Linked DNA regions of Stegostoma tigrinum. The protein of the gene in region 2 interacts with the protein of the main gene of each other region in a pairwise test. Links are inferred from orthologs where the notes say so. Each region holds a gene or a part of one and is shown on either strand. Other genes may lie near its edges.

The links. The genes of interacting proteins can lie anywhere in the genome.
Region 1: the proteins of rassf1 (region 2) and stk3 interact in binary tests that used the Homo sapiens proteins (3 or more experiments, as listed by UniProt). The link is inferred for Stegostoma tigrinum from reciprocal best matches to the Homo sapiens genes RASSF1 and STK3.

The regions. Positions count from the first base shown.
Region 1 is NC_081358.1:121,913,920-121,924,663, forward strand, and holds the start of stk3 (serine/threonine-protein kinase 3), read left to right. Parts: upstream 1-5,967; 5' UTR 5,968-6,058; coding exon 6,059-6,081; intron 6,082-10,744. UniProt on the Homo sapiens protein: Stress-activated, pro-apoptotic kinase which, following caspase-cleavage, enters the nucleus and induces chromatin condensation followed by internucleosomal DNA fragmentation.
Region 2 is NC_081364.1:59,253,762-59,263,925, forward strand, and holds the start of rassf1 (ras association domain-containing protein 1), read left to right. Parts: upstream 1-5,941; 5' UTR 5,942-6,275; coding exon 6,276-6,609; intron 6,610-10,164. UniProt on the Homo sapiens protein: Potential tumor suppressor. Required for death receptor-dependent apoptosis. Mediates activation of STK3/MST2 and STK4/MST1 during Fas-induced apoptosis by preventing their dephosphorylation.

The DNA of each region.
Region 1 (10,744 bases), on a different chromosome or scaffold from region 2:
AAATTTCCTGTTAGTATTCTGAACTCCAGTGACTAGAAGCCTAACCTGTCCAATCTTCGTCATAACAAAGTGTGGAGCTGGTGGAACACAGCACGCCAAGCCAGCTCCACACTTTGTTATCTTGGATTCTCCAGCATCTGCAGTTCCTATTATCTCTGATCACAACCTTCCTCATAATCCACCCATTCTAGACATTTACTACAGTGAGCCTCTGAACGTATTCTAATATATTTACATCCTTACTTCAGTAGGATGTCCGATACTGTATATGGTACTTTAGATACGGGTCTTACATGTGTCTTGTATAATTGAAGCATAATCTTCCTACTTTTGTATTCCATTCCCCTCAGAATAAATTACAACACCCCATTAGCTTTCCTAATTACTTGTGTACCTGCTCACTAACCTTTTATGATTCATGCACTAGGAATCCCGATTATTGTGAACCTGTAAACCCTGCAATCTTTCACTATTTAAATAACTTGTCTCTTTGTCATTCTTCCAGCAATACGAACAATTTTACATTTCTGCACAATGTATTACATTTGTCAGATCTTTGCTAACCTACTTATCAGTATCTTTTTGTAGCCACTTAAATCCTCTTCACAACTTACTTATTTTACAACCTACCTATTTTTGTGTCATCAGTAAACTGAGTGTTTATATCATCTCTTCCTTCATTGATTTGATTTGATTTATTGTCATGTGTACCTAAGTACAGTGAAAAGCTTTGACTGTGAGCAGTACAGGCAGATCGGAGCAAGCACGAATATACAGATCAGTGAGTGAAAAACAAAACCTGGACAGAGTCGGGAATACATGTTACACTGCACAGGAAGTGCACGAGGCATGATAAACATTAACAAGAACAGCATTATTCAAAATTAGAATCCATTCATCAGTCTAATAACAGTTGGGAAGAAGCTATTCTTGAACCTGCTGGTGCAGTTGTTCATGTTCCTGTATCTTCTACCTGATAGAAGAGTTTGTAAGAGAGCATTACCAAGATGGAATGGGCCTTTGATGATCTTGGCAGCCTTTTCACGGCAATGACACATGATCCAGCAGTGGGATCTTGACCCCTACAGTATATCATTTGATTTTTTAAAAAATTCATTCATAGGATGTGGGCATTGCTGTCATTGAAGGGAACATAAAAAAATCTTGTTGAAATAAATTATTTTAATACTCTTATTTTGATACTTGTAATCAACTTGTTCAGATGTGTTATAACACACCTCCGGAGCAGGTGGGGCTTGAACCAAGTATTCTATCTCTGAGGCAGGGACATTACCACTACAGCACAGAGATAATGGGAACTGCAGATGCTGGAGAATCCAAGATAACAAAGTATGAAGCTGGATGAACACAGCAAGCCAAGCAGCATCTCAGGAGCACAAAAGTTGACGTTTCGGGCCTAGACCTTTCATCAGAGAGACCCTTCAACACTACAGCACAACAACCTTTGCATTAATCAATTCATTCAAACAACTGGTCACCCCATTTCCAATACTGAATTAATAAATAGAAGTGTGAGGGACTCTCGTTGTGCAGTGTTGATATTGCTGCCTCTGAGCCAGGAAGCCTGGGTTAAAGTTCCACCTACGCCAGATTTTTGTTATAACATCTCTGAACAACTTGATTTCAGAATCATACCCTCTTTTCGATTGGGAAAGCCAGACTCCCTGATCATGCAAAAACAGAAGTTGCTAGAAAAGCTCAGCAGGTTTGGCAGCATCTGTGAAGAGAAATCAGATTTAATATTTCTGGTTCAGTGATCCTTGCTCAGAACTGATGGTAGGTAGCAAAATATTGGTTTATATGCAGAAGATAGGTTGGGGGGAAGGGGAAGGAGTAAACGAAAGGTTTGGATAGAGCCCAAAGAGAGAGAAGAGCAGTTGGATAACGGAGGAGATACAATCTGGCTAGGAGGGCGAATAGCTGTTAATGGAAACTGTTAATGGCTAACAATAGTGTGTGATAGTGTGATTATGTAATACAAGGCCTGGTGTCTGGGGTAGAGGGCTAGGACATGAGACAGTTCAGGCCCTAAAATTATTGAAGTTGATATTTGGTCTGGAGGGCTTCAGGGTCCCGAAGTGGAAAATGAGGTATACTTCTTCTAGTTTGCACTGAGCTTTGCTGGAACTCTACAGCAGCCCTGCGACAGAAATAAAAACCGAAAGAACTGCGGATGCTGTAAATCAGAACAAAAACAGAAGTTGCTGGAATAGCTCAGCAGGTCTGGCAGCATCTGTGGAGAAAAAATCAGAGTTAATGTGTTGGGTCCGGTGAGCCTTCCTTTAAATGATGTTAGCCAGGGAACAAGGTGGTGTGTTAAAGTGGCAGGAAACTGGAAGATCAGGATCATGTTTGCTGGCAGAACACAGATGCTCCATGAGGTGGTCACCCAGTCTTTGGAGGAGACCACACTGTAAGCAACTAATGCAGCAGACTAGATTGTGTGAAGTGCAGGTGAGTTGCTGCACAATCTGGAAGTTGTGTTTGGGACCTTAGATACTGAGAAGTGAGGAGGTAAGTGGGCAGGTGTTACACATAAGGTGGTTGCAAGGGAAGGTGCCGTGGGGCCGTTGGGTGGTGTTGAGAGTGAAGGAAGAGTGGACTAGGATGTCCCAGAGGGAACAGTCCCTGTGGTAGGCAGACAAGGGAGGGGAATATGCATCTAGTGGTAGCATCTTGTAGGAGGTGGCAGGAATGGTGGCTGATCTTCTGGATGTGAATTCTGGTGGGATGGTAGGTATGGACAAAGGGAACCTATCACTGTTGTGGGAGGGAAGAAAGGGGGAGAGGGCAGAAGTGTGGGGGATGAGTCGGACCCGGTTGAGGACCCTGTTGACAATGGTGCTAGGCAATCCTTATACTATATATTAAAGGAAAAAGATGGACATTTTGGAGGCTCCCTTGTCGAAGTTGGCCTCATCAGAACAAGAAATGTGTTTTTTTCCTTTCAGGCATCAATGCTCACGAGATGCAACAGCTCAGAGATACCCATGACCCTCTGAAACCTTCCTTTCCTCCCCTTCCCTCTGACTCCATTTCTTCCTCAAACCCGACCACCTGTCGGGCATTCACCACCTCTCCCAACCTTCAAACATTCTGTGCTCAGCAAAGGTGTCAGCTTTATCCCTCTGCGACCCACTTAATGAGCTTCAGGCATGACATGAAATCCAACTCTTCTTCTGCCATCTTTGCCTTTGTGCCATTTTTTGGACAAGAGTCCTCTCCCCATCCCACAGACCCCTTCATCCAGCTCGAACACTCTCCCTCCACCCGGACCCCTCCTTCTGGCCTTTTACCTGCACTTGATCTGTTCACTGAGAATTGTCGATGTCAATTTCTCTGCCCCCTCCCTTAACCAATCCAACCTATCTCCTCTGAACTGACTGCACTCTTTGTGCTCAGATCCAACCCTGACTTTGTTATTAAGGGGGGTGCTGTTGTAGTTTGGTGCACTGACCTCTACATTGCAGAGGGTCAAATACCTCCTCCTATCTTCCTCTGGACCATGACCCCCAACATGGAACATCAGGCCATTGTATCAACTATGGTCACAGACCTCATTTCATCTGGTGATCTCCTCCCCACTGCCTCCAAGCTAATAGCCCGCCAACGCTGCACAGCTTGCTTCCACCTTCTTCCAAAAATCCACAAACAGGGCTGACCCATTGTTTCGGCCTGCTCTTGCCCCACAAAGCTATCTATTCCCACCTTGACTCAGTCTTTTCTCCCCTGAGTCTAGTCCCTACCCATATATATATCCATGATTCCTCTGATGCTTTATGCTAGTTTTGGAATTTCCAGTTTGTACACTCCAGCCGCCTCCTTTTTACCATAGATGCATGTAAACTTTACACCCCCATCCTCCACTAGGATGTTCTCAGGGGTCTTCAACTTCTTCCTGGAGCAAAGGCCTGAGGCATCTCCACCCACCACCAGCCTCCTCCACTTGGTTGAGACTCTCCTCACTCTCAACAACTTCTCTTTTAATTCCTCTCATTTTCTTCAGGTCAGAAAAGTGGTCATGGGTCCCAATTATAAATGTCTCTTAATGGGGGATATTCCTTCTTCCAATCCTCTCCAGACCCCTCCCACAACTCTTTCTCTGATATATTGATATTGTTGGTGCTGCTTCCCTCTCTCATCTGGAATTGGAAAAGTTTCTAATTTTTTACCCTGCCCTCACTTTCATCTGGTCTATCTCTGACTCCTCCCTTTCTTGATATCTTTAGTTCCATTTCTGGGGATAACTTGACAATTAATATCCACTGAAAACCCACTGAATCCCACAGCTACCTGGACTACACACCCTCACACCTTGCTTCGTGTAAAGACTCCATTCTATTCTCCCTGTTCCTCTATCTCCATCGCACATGTTCTGATGAGGCCAACTTGCACAGGGAGCCTCTGAAATGTCAACCTTCTTCCTCAACTGAGGATTCCCCAGCACCGTTATCAACAGGGCCCCCAACCAGATCTGAACCAGCTCCTGCACTTCTTCCCTCACACCTGCTTTTTTCTCCCACCGAACAACAATAGGGTACCCCTTGTCCTTACCTACCATCCCATCAGCATTCAAATCCAGAAGATCATCATCCATCATTTCTGCCATCTCCAGCAAGATGCTACCACCAAACACAGATTCCCCTCCTCTCTCCTCCCTTGTCCACCTACCGCAGGAGCTGTTCTCTCCGAGACACCCTGGTGCACTCTTCCTTCACTCACAACAGCACCGTCCCCTGCAACCGCCATGGGTGTAACGTCTGCCCATTTACCTCTTCTCTCACTCAATCTAGTCTACTGCATTCGTTGCTCACAATGTGGTCTCCCCAAAGCGTAGGTTGGGCAGCCACTTCACAGAATATCTATGTTCTGCCTGCAAAAGTCACCCTGAGCTTCCAGTTGCCTGCCACTTTAATACATCACTGTTCCCTGGCTAACATCTCCATCTCAGGCTTGCTGCAGCATTCCAGCGAAGCTCAGAGCAAGCTGGAATAACAACACCTCAATTTCCACTTGGGGATGTTGAAGCCCTCCAGACTCAATATAGAGTTCAATAATTTCAGGGCCTGAACTTCCCCAGGTCCTCGCCCCTCACCGCACAAAGCAGGCCTTGTTACCACATAGTCTGCCATTGTGCGCTAGCTATTGTTAGCCGTTAGAAGCTATTCACCCTTCTAGCCAGATTGTTATCCACTCCTTTGTTTGTCCAACTGTCCTCTCTCTTCGGGCTCTATACGCATCTATGGTTTACTCCTTACGCTCTGCCCCCACTCTATCTTCTGCATATAAACCAACATTTTCCTGGCTACCATCAGTTGAGGAAGGGTCACCGGATCCGAAAAGTTAATTCTTCTTTCTCTTCACAGATGCTGCTGGACCCACTGAGCTTTTCCAGCAACTTCTGTTTTTTGTTTCTGATTTATAACATCCGCAGTTGTTCAGGATTTTATTTTGCTCACCGAAGATGGACATGTTGGTCAATCTGGGTGGGCACGGCCAGCTGCGGAGAGTGGTAACGTGATGACATCTCCCAGAATAAAGCCAGTCAGAGCTAGTTCGTTAAACCACCCGATGACTGAAGTTACGGGCATTTGTTTCCATGTGATTTCTCGTTAATATGTGCCCTTCAAATAACCAAACGGTTTAAAACGGAATCAAGGACTCCGCCAGCTACGAGCTACGACATCAAAGACTCTTAGACTCCACCGTGATTAGTCGCGGCTGCGCAGGAGGAAGAACAGTCTGTGACCAGAGAATCGTGACTGCCCAAACTGATTGACAGTTCGACGCTGCCACACAGACGGCACTTCTGGCACGATAGCGTTCCGACCAATGGGATGGTCGAGGAGGCGGGCTGAGGGCGGAGGAGGACGGCGCCGGTGTCACCAGCTGCCGTTTTGGAGGAGGAAGGTTTGGGGTGGGGTGGGGAGGGGAGGGGAGGGGAGGGGGAGAGAGGCGCGTGCAGTGACGTCAGGCGAGTCGAGCATGGCGGTTTGAAACTGTAACCGTCGCACGTTTAAAAGGCGTCACCGTAGTGATGGAGCCGTCGGCGCCCAGAAGGTAGTGACAACCCCTTTCGGAGACGTCGAGGGGGCGGTGGGGGTAGAGGCAGAGGCGGGTCGTTTGATGCATTAAATGCAGTGGTTGTTTACAGGAAGAAGATGAAACTTTTACAGAGTTTTTTCTTCTCTCTACTCACTCAGTTTATGTTTGTACGTGTTGTTCCCGAAGTCAGTTCAGAAGGGCATCGAAGTTCCAGTGTTTTTAAATACTGCTTGTTGTTTTCCAACTAGAAGTGACTATCATTGTAGGCTTGTTTTTAAAATTGTTTTGTTTCTGGTCTTGGTGAAATGGTGTCGAGGGGAGCTTTAAAAACATGAATATTTGGGAGGAAGTTAATTCGGGGAGATTATGTTCCTGATTTCTAGTACTGGAGTTGATCCTGAATTTCTCTTTTTGATTTCCCTTATCGCCGGGGATAACTTTACGATGTTGTAATGCTTTGCAACACACTGTCATTACATTTCTTTGGGAAAAGAAAGAGTAAATTTGTTGTGCAGTAGTTCAGGTCCCCAAGATGTCACAGACCACAGTGCACCTTTTTTTGAAGATTTGTCAATGACACTGTTTTCCTTGGGGGCGGGGGGGGAAGGAAAGAGTTCTAGAAATTAAAAATCTGATACTAATGATTAGAACCTGCTCTTGGTGATTTGGTGATAACAAGGTGTTGAGCTGGATGAACACTGCAGGCCAAGCAGCGTCTTAGGAGCAGGAAAGCTGATGTTTCAGGCCTAGACCCTTCATCAGCAATGCATCTTCTACCTCAATTCCATGCTCCTTGCCCTAACCTTTTCTCTCTTGAGGATCAAACATTTAAATAGTCCAGCCTTGAATATAATCAATTCATATCCTGAACTTCCTTGGGTAGAAAATAGCTGTGTGTGTGTGATCTCCTCAACTGCTGCTGCTGCTGTGTTCTAAATTCCCCAAAAGACCTCTTGAGTTTACCCTGCCAAGCCCCTGCAAAATCTTGTATGTTTCCAGGAGGTAACTTCTCCATTCTACTGAAACTGCAGATTGTCCCAAGTTGCTTAGCCTCTTGGCAGAATACAGCTTTCCCATCCTAAAAATTAACCTATTTGAATCTTCTTTACTTCTTTCTTAGACATGGAAATCAAAACTGTACTATACTTTGTACAGTCTTGCCAAAGCTCTACATAGTACAATTGTAACAAGACTTCCATATGCAATTTCCTAGCAATAAAGGCCAGTGTACCATTTGCCTTCCTAATTGCCTGATGTATATGCATCCTCTGTGTTCCTTGTATGAGGATACCTGAGTACAGGTGAATATCAACATTTACCAGTCTGATGCTTAATAAAAATATTCTGCCTTTCTACTCTGACCAAAATGAATAACCTCAAACTTTGCCACATAATGTTCCAGCTGCTTTTGTTGCCCATCCAAGCTGTTGGCATCTCTTTGCAGCCTGTTTTGGTCATCCTGACAACTTATCATCACCTAGTTTTCTATCAGAAGTAAATTTGGGTATTAAGTCCTCACTTAAAATTTAGATTGTTTTCCTGAAAATCATTGGTTCCCAGAGAATAGAACAGTACAGGCCCTTCGAAGCAGATGTTAAATCTGTATTTTGGTTTTGTAGGACCTACCTTATCCTAAAAGTCTAGCAATAATACTACTAGGCCATTGCCTCACTAATGTAAGTACTTCTTAAACGTTATGAGGATTTCTACACAGTTACAAGCTGTGTTCCAGATTCCCATCTCCTTCTGGAGTTACCTTATACCCAAGGCCCCATCTTTGATCCCTCCACCAAGGGGAAATGTTCCTTTTCTACCTTATCTATGTCTCTCATAATTTTATGCATCTCAATCATGACCCCCTTCTGTTTCCTCTACTCTGAGGAAAACTCACCCAGTCTATTCAATCTCTACTCATAACTAAAACTTTCCAATCCAGATAACATTGTAAAAAACCTCCTTTGCAGCCTCTCCAGTCCAAACATAGCCTTTGTTAAATGGGAATTCCAAAATTGCACAGTATGGTCTATGCCGTTTCAACATAACCGTCCTGGTGGATAAGAACAACAAGTTCCCACTGATCCTTGGTACTACACAAGGTCCTTCCCTTCATAACAAAAAAATGCTGGCGATCACAGTGGGACAGGCAGCATTCATGGACAGAAAGCATGCTAATGTTTTGAGTCAAGGTGACTCTTCAGACCTGAAGTGAAATGTCGATGGGGCAAAATTTTTGCAGTAGTTTGGGGGTGGGGTGGGGAAAGGATGTTGATAGTTCACATTAAGTGATTCTCATGTGAGATCACTTAATCTGAACTATTAACATCCTTTGATAACAAGGTGTGGAGCTGAATGAGCACAGCATGCCACGCAGCATAGACCCTCCTGAAACATCAGCGTTCCTGCTCCTAAGATGCTGCTTGGCCTGCTGTGTTCATCCAGCGCCACTCCTTGTTATCTCAGATTCTCCAGCATCTGCAGTTCCTATTATCTCTATCACCATCCTTTTATTGAGTTCAAATTGCTGCTAACAGCCTATCCTTATTCTCCTATAATCTAGGGCAATCCTCCTCATTATTTACCACCTCATTCATTTGTCCTTCAGTCTGAAAAATGATTTTTTACCATGACTACCTTAAACAATATTTAACCAAACTGACACTGACTCGCCTGCTCCACGAATCTTTATTTTATTAATCAGTTTCTGACATCGTATTTTCTCAGTACTTTAAATCTGTATGAGCAATATCTGCTACTTTCCCTTCAAAACTTTTCTCTGGTATTGCATCAAAAAATTATTAGATTGATCAAACATAGAACATAGAACATTACAGCACAGTACAGGCCCTTCGGCCTTCGATGTTGTGCCGACCTGTCATACCAATCTGAAGCCCATCTAACGTACACTATTCCATGCACGTCCATATGCTTGTCCAATGACGACTTAAATGTACCTAAAGTTGGCGAATCTACTACCGTTGCAGGCAAAGCGTTCCATTCCCTTACTACTCTCTGAGTAAAGAAACTACCTCTGACATCTGTCCTATATCTTTCACCCCTCAATTTAAAGCTATTCCCCCTCGTGCTCGCTGTCACCATCCTAGGAAAAAGGATCTCCTTATCCACCCTATCCAACCCTCTGATTATTTTATATGTCTCAATTAAGTCACCTCTCAACCTTCTTCTCTCTAATGAAAACAGCCTCAAGTCCCTGAGCCTTTCCTCGTAAGACCTTCCCTCCATACGAGGCAACATCCTAGTAAATCTCCTCTGCACCCTTTCCAAAGCTTCCACATCCTTCTTCTAATGCGGTGACCAGAACTGTACGCAATACTCGAAGTGCGGCCGCACCAGAGTTTTGTACAGCTTCTCCATAACCTCTTGGTTCTGGAACTCGATCCCTCTATTAATAAAAGCTAAAACACTGTACGCCTTCTTAACAGCCCTGTCAACCTGGGTGGCAACTTTCAAGGATCTGTGTACATGAACACCGAGATCTCTCTGCTCATCTACACTGCTAAGAATCTTACCTTTGCCTTTTGTAAATCTGTTCTAGATGTCCTTAATTAAGTGTCTCCAACTGCTACTTCAACTAGTGCATTTTTGCGTAAAATTGTATTGCCATAATTTTCAGGTTGAGTGCATTTTTCTATTTTTTACATTTTATCACTAAATTGGTGTGGGTGATATTGCAGGTTGTTCAGCTCAGTAGACTTTGTTGGTATTTTACCTTCACTCAAACCTCCTCCCATTCTGTTAAATCTCATACAATCAGAATACCTTTCTATTCCTTTCTCTCCTGTGTGCTTATCTCGCTATTCCTGAAATACATCTTTATTGTTTGTCTAAATCACTCTAAGTAACTTCCCTGAATACATACCCGAATCCCTGAGTCTCCCTTTACCATGGTACCTTTAAGTGTATTTGCCTTCTCCTGTTCCATTTGCTGAAGTGTGTTCCAAGAATGATTCTGCAGCCTTTTCTGAAAACTTCCACACGCTTTACATTGCTGCTTTGTGATTCTACTTTACCATTTGTAAGTGCTTACAAGATCCTTCCAGAGCTTTCAGTTGCCTGCCATTTCAACGCATGTGTTCCAGTTCTAACATTGTGATCTCAGGACTACTACGTGCTCCAGCAAAACTGAAGAAAGGGTGAAGGAACAGCACCTCATCTTCCGCTGTGGTAGTTTACAGCCTTCAGGACTCAACATTTGAGTTTAATAATTAAAGAATGTGAGCACCCCTGTGTGCTTAGGTCCTGTTTTGTACGGTTTGCTCCCAGCACAGCCAACCCATTTCAAACTATACACACTTCTTGTTAGCACCCTCCCAAGTATTTATCTCCATCTCGGCTGATCATCAGCAATCACTTTGTTTACCATCTTTTATGTTCTCTCTCAGCACTGTCTTCATGTATTTTGTTCACTCTGTCCCCTATCCCATCCCTTACATCAGCATGTAAACTGCCCTTTTTGATGATGCTATGGCTTTAAAAGATGACTTTTGTCCTTTGTTTTAATGAAGAGAGGTTGCGACAGAGCAGTCTACTCCAAGCCAATAAAGTAAACAGCTTGTGAGGCCTCAGGTTTTTATTTTAAAAAGTTAAAACAATAGGAACAGCATGAATAGGTACATCAGGCTCTGACAGAACTACTGAGGTCTTGAAGTTGGATGTGGAT
Region 2 (10,164 bases):
TGATGTACTGTGTCTAGTACAATCTGTCTGTATAGCATGCTTTTCGCATGTGACAACAATAAATCAATCAATCAATCAGATACATGTGCCAATGCTGTGATGCACGCATGCATGCAGGCTGGTGATTTCTGCTGTCCAGTATTTATGATGGGTTTCTGATGGCAGAAGCAACTGGTCATTCACTTTCTTCGATGTAATGTGAGAATAAACTCCAATTGCATTTCTTGATGCAAATATTGTGACATATATTTTTACTTGCAGCTTTGACAGAGATGCTGTCTTCACATTTATCACGTCAAATGCAGTGTGGCTGTTTCTTCCCACTGGGCATTTTTGCACAGTAATTTAGGAAGTGGCTTTGTGATCTTGACATACGTGGTAGAAATTTGTGATAAATGTTTTTAATCCCAAGACACAATGCCTACTCTTTTATGTCGGGTTCACACAAATGGCTTTGACATTTTCCTGTGCAGTCTATATCCAGTTGTTGTCACCCAATTGCCAAGAAAGTTAATCCTTAACGCTGTGAATGTACATTTGTCCTTGATGACCAAATTGTGATGTGCGATTCAAGTGAGGACTGCTGATATCCACTTATTGTGTCCTGTTCTTTCCCTTCCATGACCATCAACAGCAAGTGGATGTGAGGAACGTTGGATCAGCCATGATCCAATTGAATGGCAGAGCAGGCTCAAGGGGCCAAATGGTCTATTACCCTTCCTATTTCTAAGTAGCTGTCAATTGTATCATGTGGATACTTGTCTAGAGTGAATGTCCACTACTGTTAAGCTGATTCAGTCAACAATACCATCCATTTCTAATCACTGTACTTCCTGTGACAATTAAGCATACATTATAAATGGCAACTCCTCAAATTTTGTGTAATTGGTAGAAGTGATGTGAAGATGTCAATATGAAGAGTGTAACAAGACCTCCTTCATCTCCCCAAATACAATGAATAAGGAAGGATAGTGATCATGTCAATATGTACACCAGTGAAGTCTTCAACTTTGAAGCTAGGCCTACTGAAAGGTTTCCCCCTCTCCTACCACTCTGCAATAAACCTGCTGCCATTAGCTTCATTGAACACAAAGCCATCTAGTGGGTGACATTTTTGTAACACATGGGAACAGCAATCTCCAAAAGGGGCAATCGTGAACTTGAAAACTGTCTGTTGCAGGAAGGGGAGAAAGTTGCGTAAAACATTGATTCTGAGTCTGTCGTTCAGAGTAGATGCTTTCATCCCAATGAGCATTTCCACAGTTTGGGCATAGTTTTGATTGATTGATTTGATTTATTGTCACGTGTACCTAAGTACAGTGAAAAGCTTTGTTTGCGAGCAGCATAGGCAGATCATAGTAAACTAGGAAATACAGATCATCAGGTGAAAAACTTCTTGGACACAGTAAGGCACATAGGTTACATTGCACAGAATGTGTGCGAGGCAAGATCACCAGTACCAAGATAGGAAAAAATTGAAGTTAGAGATGCCATTCATCAGTCAAATAACAGCAAGGAAGAAGCTATTCTTGAATCTGCTGGTGCATGTGTTCAAGAATTCATATTTTCTACCTGATGGAAGAGGATGTAGGAGAGCATTACCTGGATGGGAAGGGTCTTTGATGATGTTGGCAGCCTTTCTGCACCTACAAAACATGTAAATAGAGTCCATGGTTGGAAGGTTGACTTCTGTGATGGTCTGGGCTGCGCACACCACTTTCTGTAGTTTCTTACGGTTCTAGGCAGAGCAGTTGCCACACCAGGCCGTTATGCACCCGGACAGTACACTTTCAATGGCGCAGATATAGAGGTTAGTGAGGGTCCTCATGGACAAGCCAAATTTTCTCAGCTGCCTGAGGAAGAAGAGGCGTTGTTGTGCCTTCTTGACCATTGCATCACATGGGAAGTGCAGGACAGATTGTTGGTTATTGTCACTCCGAGGAACCTGACGTTCTGGACCCTCTCAATCTCCACACCATTGACGTAAATGGGGGCATGCTACCCTCCTTTCTTTCTGAAGTCGATGATCAATTATTTAGTTTTGCGGACACTGAGAGAGAGAGAGAGAGAGAGAGAGAGAGATGTTGTAACCATTGCACCATGTCACCAAACCCTCTATCTCTTTTCTGTATTCTGACTTATCATCGTTTGATATCTATCTTAACACAATGGTATCATTAGCAAACTTGTAGATGGTGTTCATTCGGAATTTGGCAAAAAGTCATGGGTGTATAGGGAATACAGTAGGGGGCTGAGGATGCATCCTCAGGGGCGTTGGGGGGGGGGGTGTTGCTCCAGTGTTAAGTGTTATTGTGGAGGAAGTGCAGTTGTCTATATTCACTGATTGCGGTCTGTGGGTCAGAAAGCTGAGGATCCAATTGCAGAGCGCAGAGCTTGAGGGGAGTCTTGAGGGGATAATGGTGTTGAAGGCAGAGCTGTAGGGGTCTGACATAGCTGTCCTTGTTGTCTACATGTTCCAGGGATGAGTGCAGGGCTAGGGAAATGGCACCTGCTCTGGACCTGTTATGTCAATAGGCAAATTGCAGGGAATCGAGGTGAGCTGGGAGACTCAAGTTAATGTGGGCTTTGACCAGCTTGTCGAAGCACTTCATGATTATTGAGGTCAGAACCCCACTGGGCGGTAGTCTTTAAGGCACGTTGCATGTGCTTTCTTAGGTACAGGGCTGATGGTGGTCTTCTTGAAAGTAGGAGCTTTGGCTTGAAGGAGGGAGAGGCTGAAACTGGAGGTGAAATCATCCACCAGCTGGTCCGGACATGACCTAAATGCACGGCCAGGGACTCCATCAGGGCCTATCGCTTTCCTTGAGTTGACTATTGGGAAGACTGATCTGAGGTCTGCAGTGCTGACAGAGCGAACAGGTGTGTCCGGGGCTGGTGACACCATGCTGCTGGTATTCTGCTTGAACACAGCATAGAAAGCTTTGAGTGTATCAGGGAGGGATGTGCCTTTGTCAGCTATCTTGTAAGTAGCTAACCATAATGGGCATGTCATAATCAGATTATGAAGTCTCCTCATGCTTAACCCTTGCAATTGAGTTGGTTGGGAAAGCGGAGGGGGCACTTGTATGTAGCCTCTTCAAACCTAACACTGCTGCCTCACAACACCCAGGGACTTGGGTTCAATTCCAGCTTTAGGTGACTGTCTGAGTGGAATTTGTATGTTCTTCCCAATTCTGCATGGGTTTCTGCCAGTTGCTCTAGTTTCCTCCCACAGTCCAAAGCTGTGCATTGTAGGTAGTCTGGCCATGCTAAATTGCCCACAGTGTCCAGGGATGTGCAGGTTTACGTGGGTTAGCCATGGAAATTAGGCAGTTACAGGGATAGGGTGGGGGACTGAGTCTGGGTGGGATGTTCTTCAGAGGATCAGTGCAGGTTTGATGGGCTGAGTGGCCTCCTTCCACACTGTTGGGATTCTATCATTTTAATGTCATGTGGTGGATTGATTTACATTGGCAAGTTTGTGGCTACTTCATAAATTAGATCGTCATTCATGAGGGGATACATAACTAGTTTGTAGAGTTGAAGTTGGGTGTGGACTAGTTAATTGATTAATGGATCAAATTTAATATAGAAGCCAACTGGTGCATCTATTTACTATCTTGTTTGATGGGCTTGCTATTACATTGCTATGATATAATAGTGGAAAATGAAATGTATAGCATTCAAATATAACATTTTTCTTTGGCTAAAGTATTTTTCAAGACCCACTTGCTGATGTAACAAATGCACTCATGTCTTTTTTGAGCTGCTGGAATATTCAATGACCTTCTGTTCTGAGGCAACATAAAAGTATCATTTTTTTGGAGTTCCATCTGCCCTGTGCAACTCTATAGCATGCAAATAGGTGGTGCACCCTGAAATCCATTCAGCCCGTGGCCTATCAGCAAAGACAAAGTGCAAGAGTGAGTAACTGTAAACTTTCCTGCATCATTCTCACTCCACTTCGTTGTGTATTTTATATCTCTCTGGTCTACACCAAGACGACACACCAGCTTCAATATTTAATAGGTTTTATTGACAGTGTTTCAAAATGGCTGCTCTGTGCTTCAGCTCTGGCTCCCAACTCTTTCCACAGCTTTTCTCAGAGTCTACATCCAAGCTTACCGATTGAGTACAAAGATCAGCTATTGTAAACCGATTAACATAAAGAAACGCAGGACAATTGAACACTAAAGTGAATCCTGACAACAAGCTAGAAAGATGCAAGTATCCCTACCTCAGCCATTTTTGGAATCCTTAGCTGTCATATATGGAGTCGCAGGTAGACAGGGTAGTGAAGAAGCCATGTGGCATGCTTGCCTTCATTGGCCAGAACGTTGATGTTGGAGTTGGGATTTCATGTTGCAGTTAAACAGAACATTTGTGAAGCCACTTTTAGAATACTGTGTACAATTTTGGTTGCTCTCCTATAAGAAGAATGTTGTTAAATTTGAAAGTGTGCAGAAAGGTTTACGAGGATATGACCGTTTTTTCTGTAGAAGGGTCTAGGCCTGAAACATCAGCTCCTCTGATGCTGCTTGGCCTGGTTCATGCAGCTGTACGCCTTTTTATCTCACATTTAAGAGGCATCCAGGTTGGTATATGAATATGAGGAGTTTACAGGGAGTATGGGCTGGCATATATGCTGGCAAATGGGACTAGATCAGATTGGGCGTCTGGTTGGCGTGAATGAGTTGGGGTGAAAAGTCTGTTTCTGTGCTGTGTGACTATGATTCTATATCGATCCAGCAATTAATTTTCAGCTTTTACGGTTCCCATGTCTTTAAACGGTGAGATATCACCCCCAGGAGACGCCAGACAGTGATGGGCTGATTGCTTTTCAGTCCTAAGCGTACCGTTGGGAGTGATGGTCACTCTGAGACGGCACTCAATGAGATGAAATAGTGATGGACACCACACTTGGGACAAGGTGAGTGGGCCTGGAGATCATGCAGATAGGCCATATTGAGAGGGGGGTCTAGTGAATTGGTGAGAATTGCAAAATCCAGTCCCCAAAATCAAGCCTTATAAATGTACAGGTGATGAAAATGAGGCAGATCACCGTTATCCCTATCTTAAAAAGTCGTTGAATCCTGGGCAACTTAGCTCCACCGATAATGTGGTGATGACTTGCAATAACGTCCAAAGGTAAAAGTATTTTTCCTCACTACAGGAAACTGTGTATACCCACTATCCCCATTCTCATCACTTTATATAGCCTAGATTCCAAATTGCTGCCTGTGAGTTTAGGAGCCCAAAATCTTGACTCCTGAACCCAGTGGGAGTGGCAACTCCTTGTTTGGGAAGTCCTGCCGTGGACTAAATCACAATAAAACATAGTGATCCCAACACCAGTCTTTTCATCTCTGGTTTCTTAAAACCCGCCAGTGATGCACTTTTTTTCTGATGAAGGGTCTAGACCCAAAACGTCAGCTTCTGTGCTCCTGAGATGCTGCTTGGCCTGCTGTGTTCATCCAGCTCCACACTTTGGTTATGAGTGATGCACTTCAATATAGGTAAGCAACTGCTCCGAAACGTTATTACACATTCTAGAGGTTGAACCTGCGTGGTCCAGCTCGGGGACAGAGGAAGGATAACACTTATAAAAGGAGAGTGAGTTTACGTTTAATCTGATAACGCTAGCCAGCACACCCACTTAACTGTTGCTCGCCCACTGCCCCTAAAACTGAGGATGGTTCTGAACACGCACAGAGTGTTCCATCAAACCCCAGCGGCCAGCCACGGGGAAAGAGAAAAAAAAATCCTTTTCCAGCGAACAGCTGTGATCTGAATATTCTCACAAAAAAACATAAACAGCAGCCCCTCCCACTACGTTCTTCATCCACTCGATTCAGTCACAGTTTAACTTTAGAGGGTTACAATCAATCTCCTCCCCCACTCCACACGCACACAAACACACAGCTCGCTTCACGTTTAAAACTAACGGGTTGCTGTATTTCGTTGGCTGATGGGCGGATCCTGACACTGAGCTGAAGCTGTGCTCGGAGTTAGGGGTTGAGTTAGACATTTATTAGCCGCAGGGGAGGAGCCGATCCTGGGGTGGAATTTTAACCCGGACCAGGACTAATCAACTTGTCTCAGCCCCTCCTGGCTTCAGTTGCGGTTCTTTTGCTCGGGAGACCCGAACGAATATAAACATGTTGACTGAAATGTTTTCTTATCGAAGGCGTTTTGGATCATTTAATTCTAATGCCTGTCGCTGAGTTTGAGACTGAGTTTCCCCGTGCAGTATAAACTTTTCTCTTCGCCTCCCCATGGCGGAGCTGATCGAGCTGCGGGACCTGAGAGAGGACACGCTGAGTCCCGGCAGCACCCGCTCGGTGTACCGCTCGTCCGGTTTGGAGAGGACCAACGCCATGAGGATCAGCCCCAGGAGCCGGGCTTCCAGCGTCCAGGACATGGGTAAGGCGGCCAGACAAGAGCGCAAGAGCCGGCAGCGGCTGCTGGTGGTGGACCAGGAGCCGAGACTGACCGAGAGACTGGGGGAAGGACACGATTTCAACCCTTGCACCCAGACACAGCCCAGCTGGTGTGACCTGTGCGGCGACTTCATCTGGGGTCTGTACAAACAAAGTCTGCAGTGCGCAAGTAAGTTTCTCACACACGCAATTATCTTGTTTTACAAACATGCATTTAAAAAAAACACGAATTGATCTGAAATAAGTAAGAAACAGAAAACGTATGTGTCACAGTGACACTGGTAAGGGACAAAAACAGAAGTTGCTGGAAAAGCTGAGCAGGTCTGGCAGCATCTGTGGAGAGAAATCAGACTTGACGTTTCAAGTCAAGGGACCCTTCCGCGGTTTTTATCATTACTAAGAAGGCGACTTATAACGCTGGGGTGTGACTATCACTTAGGGGAATACAGCTTGGAAATCAATTTTAAAACTGCGGAAAAGATTTCCAGTGCATGTTAAATGGGTTGTATGCATTTTCTTACTTTTATGTCATGATTTAGTGTATTGTCCATCATACTAAACATATTCTATTTAACTCAATGTATACATTATACTATCAAACTCAGTATTTTCTCCATACTACTAACCTCTTTGCTGTATGCTGTCATATTTACAGAATATAAATACACGCTATCACACGATGTGCTATTGTATACTGTACAGGATTCTGTGTTTGGTATCAGGCTATATATGGTAATAGATTCCCTTCAAGGCTTCCTCAATCTTCCAAGTATTCAGATTAACGAAAGGAACTAGCTTTACAAGATCAAGCCAGAAAAGAGTGTGTTTGAAATGCACTACAAATGCATTGTAAACCTTCCAGTTAGACTGTCAACACTGAATAGGTGGAAAAGGTGCCGAAATTGATGAAAACGACATGAAAGAGGCCATTGTCATCATAACTAAGTACTTTGGAACTTATTTAAGTTGTTGCTAAACTCTTGATGTAATTATGCAAGAACACAATAGAAAAACCTCCCTGCATTGCAAGCGTCGCTTTGTGTCATCCCAGAGTGATGCCCATTGTCACACAGTGACACATCTTCACTGCGGGCCCTGTTGGCAATGAAGCTGGCCGATTATCAGAATGTGAAATCTCCCCAAGCCTGGCTTGCTGTGTTTTATATTTGTGTTCAGCTTTGGTTCAAGAGCATGCTGTGATTCAGAATTTTTTTTACCAGTGGGCAGTAAGCAGTGACCATCTTTGCCTGCAAGCTATGCTCACCGGGGGTTTTAAAGCAAATGGTCAGAAAATTGTAGACAACCTCTGACAGTGTTGAAGCTGGTGGCCAGGACTGTCCACTGGAAAGTACTTGTCAAAGGAAGAAAGGATATGTAGTTATATGGTGTCTTTCGCAAACTCCGGATATCCCAAAAGACTGCAGCCAGTGATGTATTTTTGTACTGTCATCTCTGTTGTAATGTTTTCAGCAGATTTTGGCGTATGACTATGTTTCTTGGCTTAATATTAGATATATCCTTTTTAGTTAGATAGAGTTGTAAGTAATTAAAATCTTCTGAAATGTGAATGTTCAGTTTCTTTCTGTAACTGAGTGCAAAGCAGCTACATCTACCTGCATGGTTGGGAATATTAACCAGCTCCCAGTCAGCAGCTGATAGCGTGCCAGAGGACATCAATGGTGTGAAAAACTGACGTCTCCTCCTGACAAGTAGGAGATACTTTTATGACCAAGAAGTGGATTTGAGGTACAGATTAACCATGATATAATTGATATAGAACACTGAAGGGATTGAATGGCCTGATATAATTCTTAGGTTTAACCTACTGGTGTGAGACCACACTGGGAACTTTCAGCACATAGAAAGTTCATCCCAGTGAGAATTGTCACCTTTCATGGTTGATTTTTGACCAATTCATGTACAAACTTGTGCTGGGTCAATTCTCCCTGCCTCGCTGAGTCTGCAGGCTATGTAGTTTGCACCAGCAGTGTTCCTGTATCATTGACTATATCTCTACTGATGTTAGACAGCTCCTGCACTGCTGAACTCTTCCACACCATGTGGAATCCTAGACGTTCTTCTTCACCTGAGGCAGTCCCTCAGGATAAGCATGATTTCACTTCCACTCTGCTTTGACGGTTTAGAAGATAGCTGAGAAGTCCAGTACACATCACAGTAGAGTAGCCCAGCAGGAGTGTGCTGGGTCCATAACCCAGAGGTTGATGGAACAAAACCATCCTCTGCTATTTACATTAACAAAGTGGTGCTTGTTCTGTAAGTTGTAGCATCTAGTTTAGGGCGGGACGGTGACTCAGTGGTTAGCACTGCTGCCTCACAGCGCCAGGGACCCGGGATTGATTCCAACCTCGGACAACTATCTGTGTGGAGTTTGCACGTTCTCCCTGTGTCTGCGTGGGTTTCCTCTGGGTGCTCCGGTTTTCTCCCACAATCCTAAGATGTGCAGAGTAGGTGGTTTGGCTATTCTAAATTGCCTGTAGTACCCAGGGGTATTTAGGTTAGGTGGATTAGACAAGGGAAATGTAGGAGTAGGGGAATGGGTCAGGGTGGGATGCTCTTTGGAAGGGCGGTGTGGGCTTGTTGGGCTGAATGGCCTGTTTTCGCACTGTAGGGTTTCTATGATTTCTATGACAAGCTGCAGTCTCACCCACGTGTGGGACAGATGGTCTTTGGAGGGTGAAATAAATGTATGGGGTTTGCAAACTCCCTTCTGCACTAAGACTTCACTTCTTCATGTTACTGATAAAGTCTTTCATGGTCTTCCCAAATTAACCTTCCGCATTTGGTTCTGATGGTCTCCCGTGAATCAGCAGGAATGTTTCTGCCCTTCAGCAATAATTTGAGGACATTCCTAAAGCAGTCCCACTGTTTTCCTTGGAGCTCTAGTCTCAAATGTGTTCGTAGTTGAACAGCTCCTTCGAGAGGTGTCCTGCCTAACAGAACTGGCTCTAAGTGATTAACACTTCTGTGCTGGACATGTTGGTTTGGGAGGCGTTGCTGCTGTTGAACTGCTACTGTACTCCAAGGATCTTGTGAACTGCTGGTGGTATTCAAGTACTTTGAGGTGCTTGCTTTGGATTATCTCAGTCTCTGAAGCATTTAGGAACACTGGGATCACTGCTGTCTGGTAAACTCTAAGCCTCATTTCGGATCTGTGATCCAGATCCTCTAATACACTAAATCACCTGAAGACTGACCTGGCACATTGTAAGTGATAATGGCTTTTGTCATCTCTCCAACTTCAGCAAGAACAAATTTCATGGAAATAACAGCATAAGCAGAAGGTCATATTTTCTCCTTTGCACTTCTGTCAATGCCCTCTTATCAGCCTCAACCATCTACTCCGATCCCTTGTCTGTCAATCTTTTCCTTATCAATTGCTCATCTAATTTCATTTGTAAACAATTGTATAATCTTTCAATAGCTAAATCTGGCATTGTGTTCAAATAAATCTCTACTGCTTAGCCAACTGTGAAGGTGATCCATCACATCCGCTCCTTCCTCCAAGTGTTGCAACCTTCTTACTCCCATGATCCGTCACGTTGCGTGTTCTCAAACACAGTTCCTACCTTCCTAGGTGGAAAAGAAAACAGGCGATTAGATGACTCTTGATTGCTTGTTTCGCAAGGCTGGTGAGTCTGAAGATTCGGAGTCATACTGTCTAAGGCTCGCATTACGAATTGTGGTGAAGAGAAATTTCTTCATT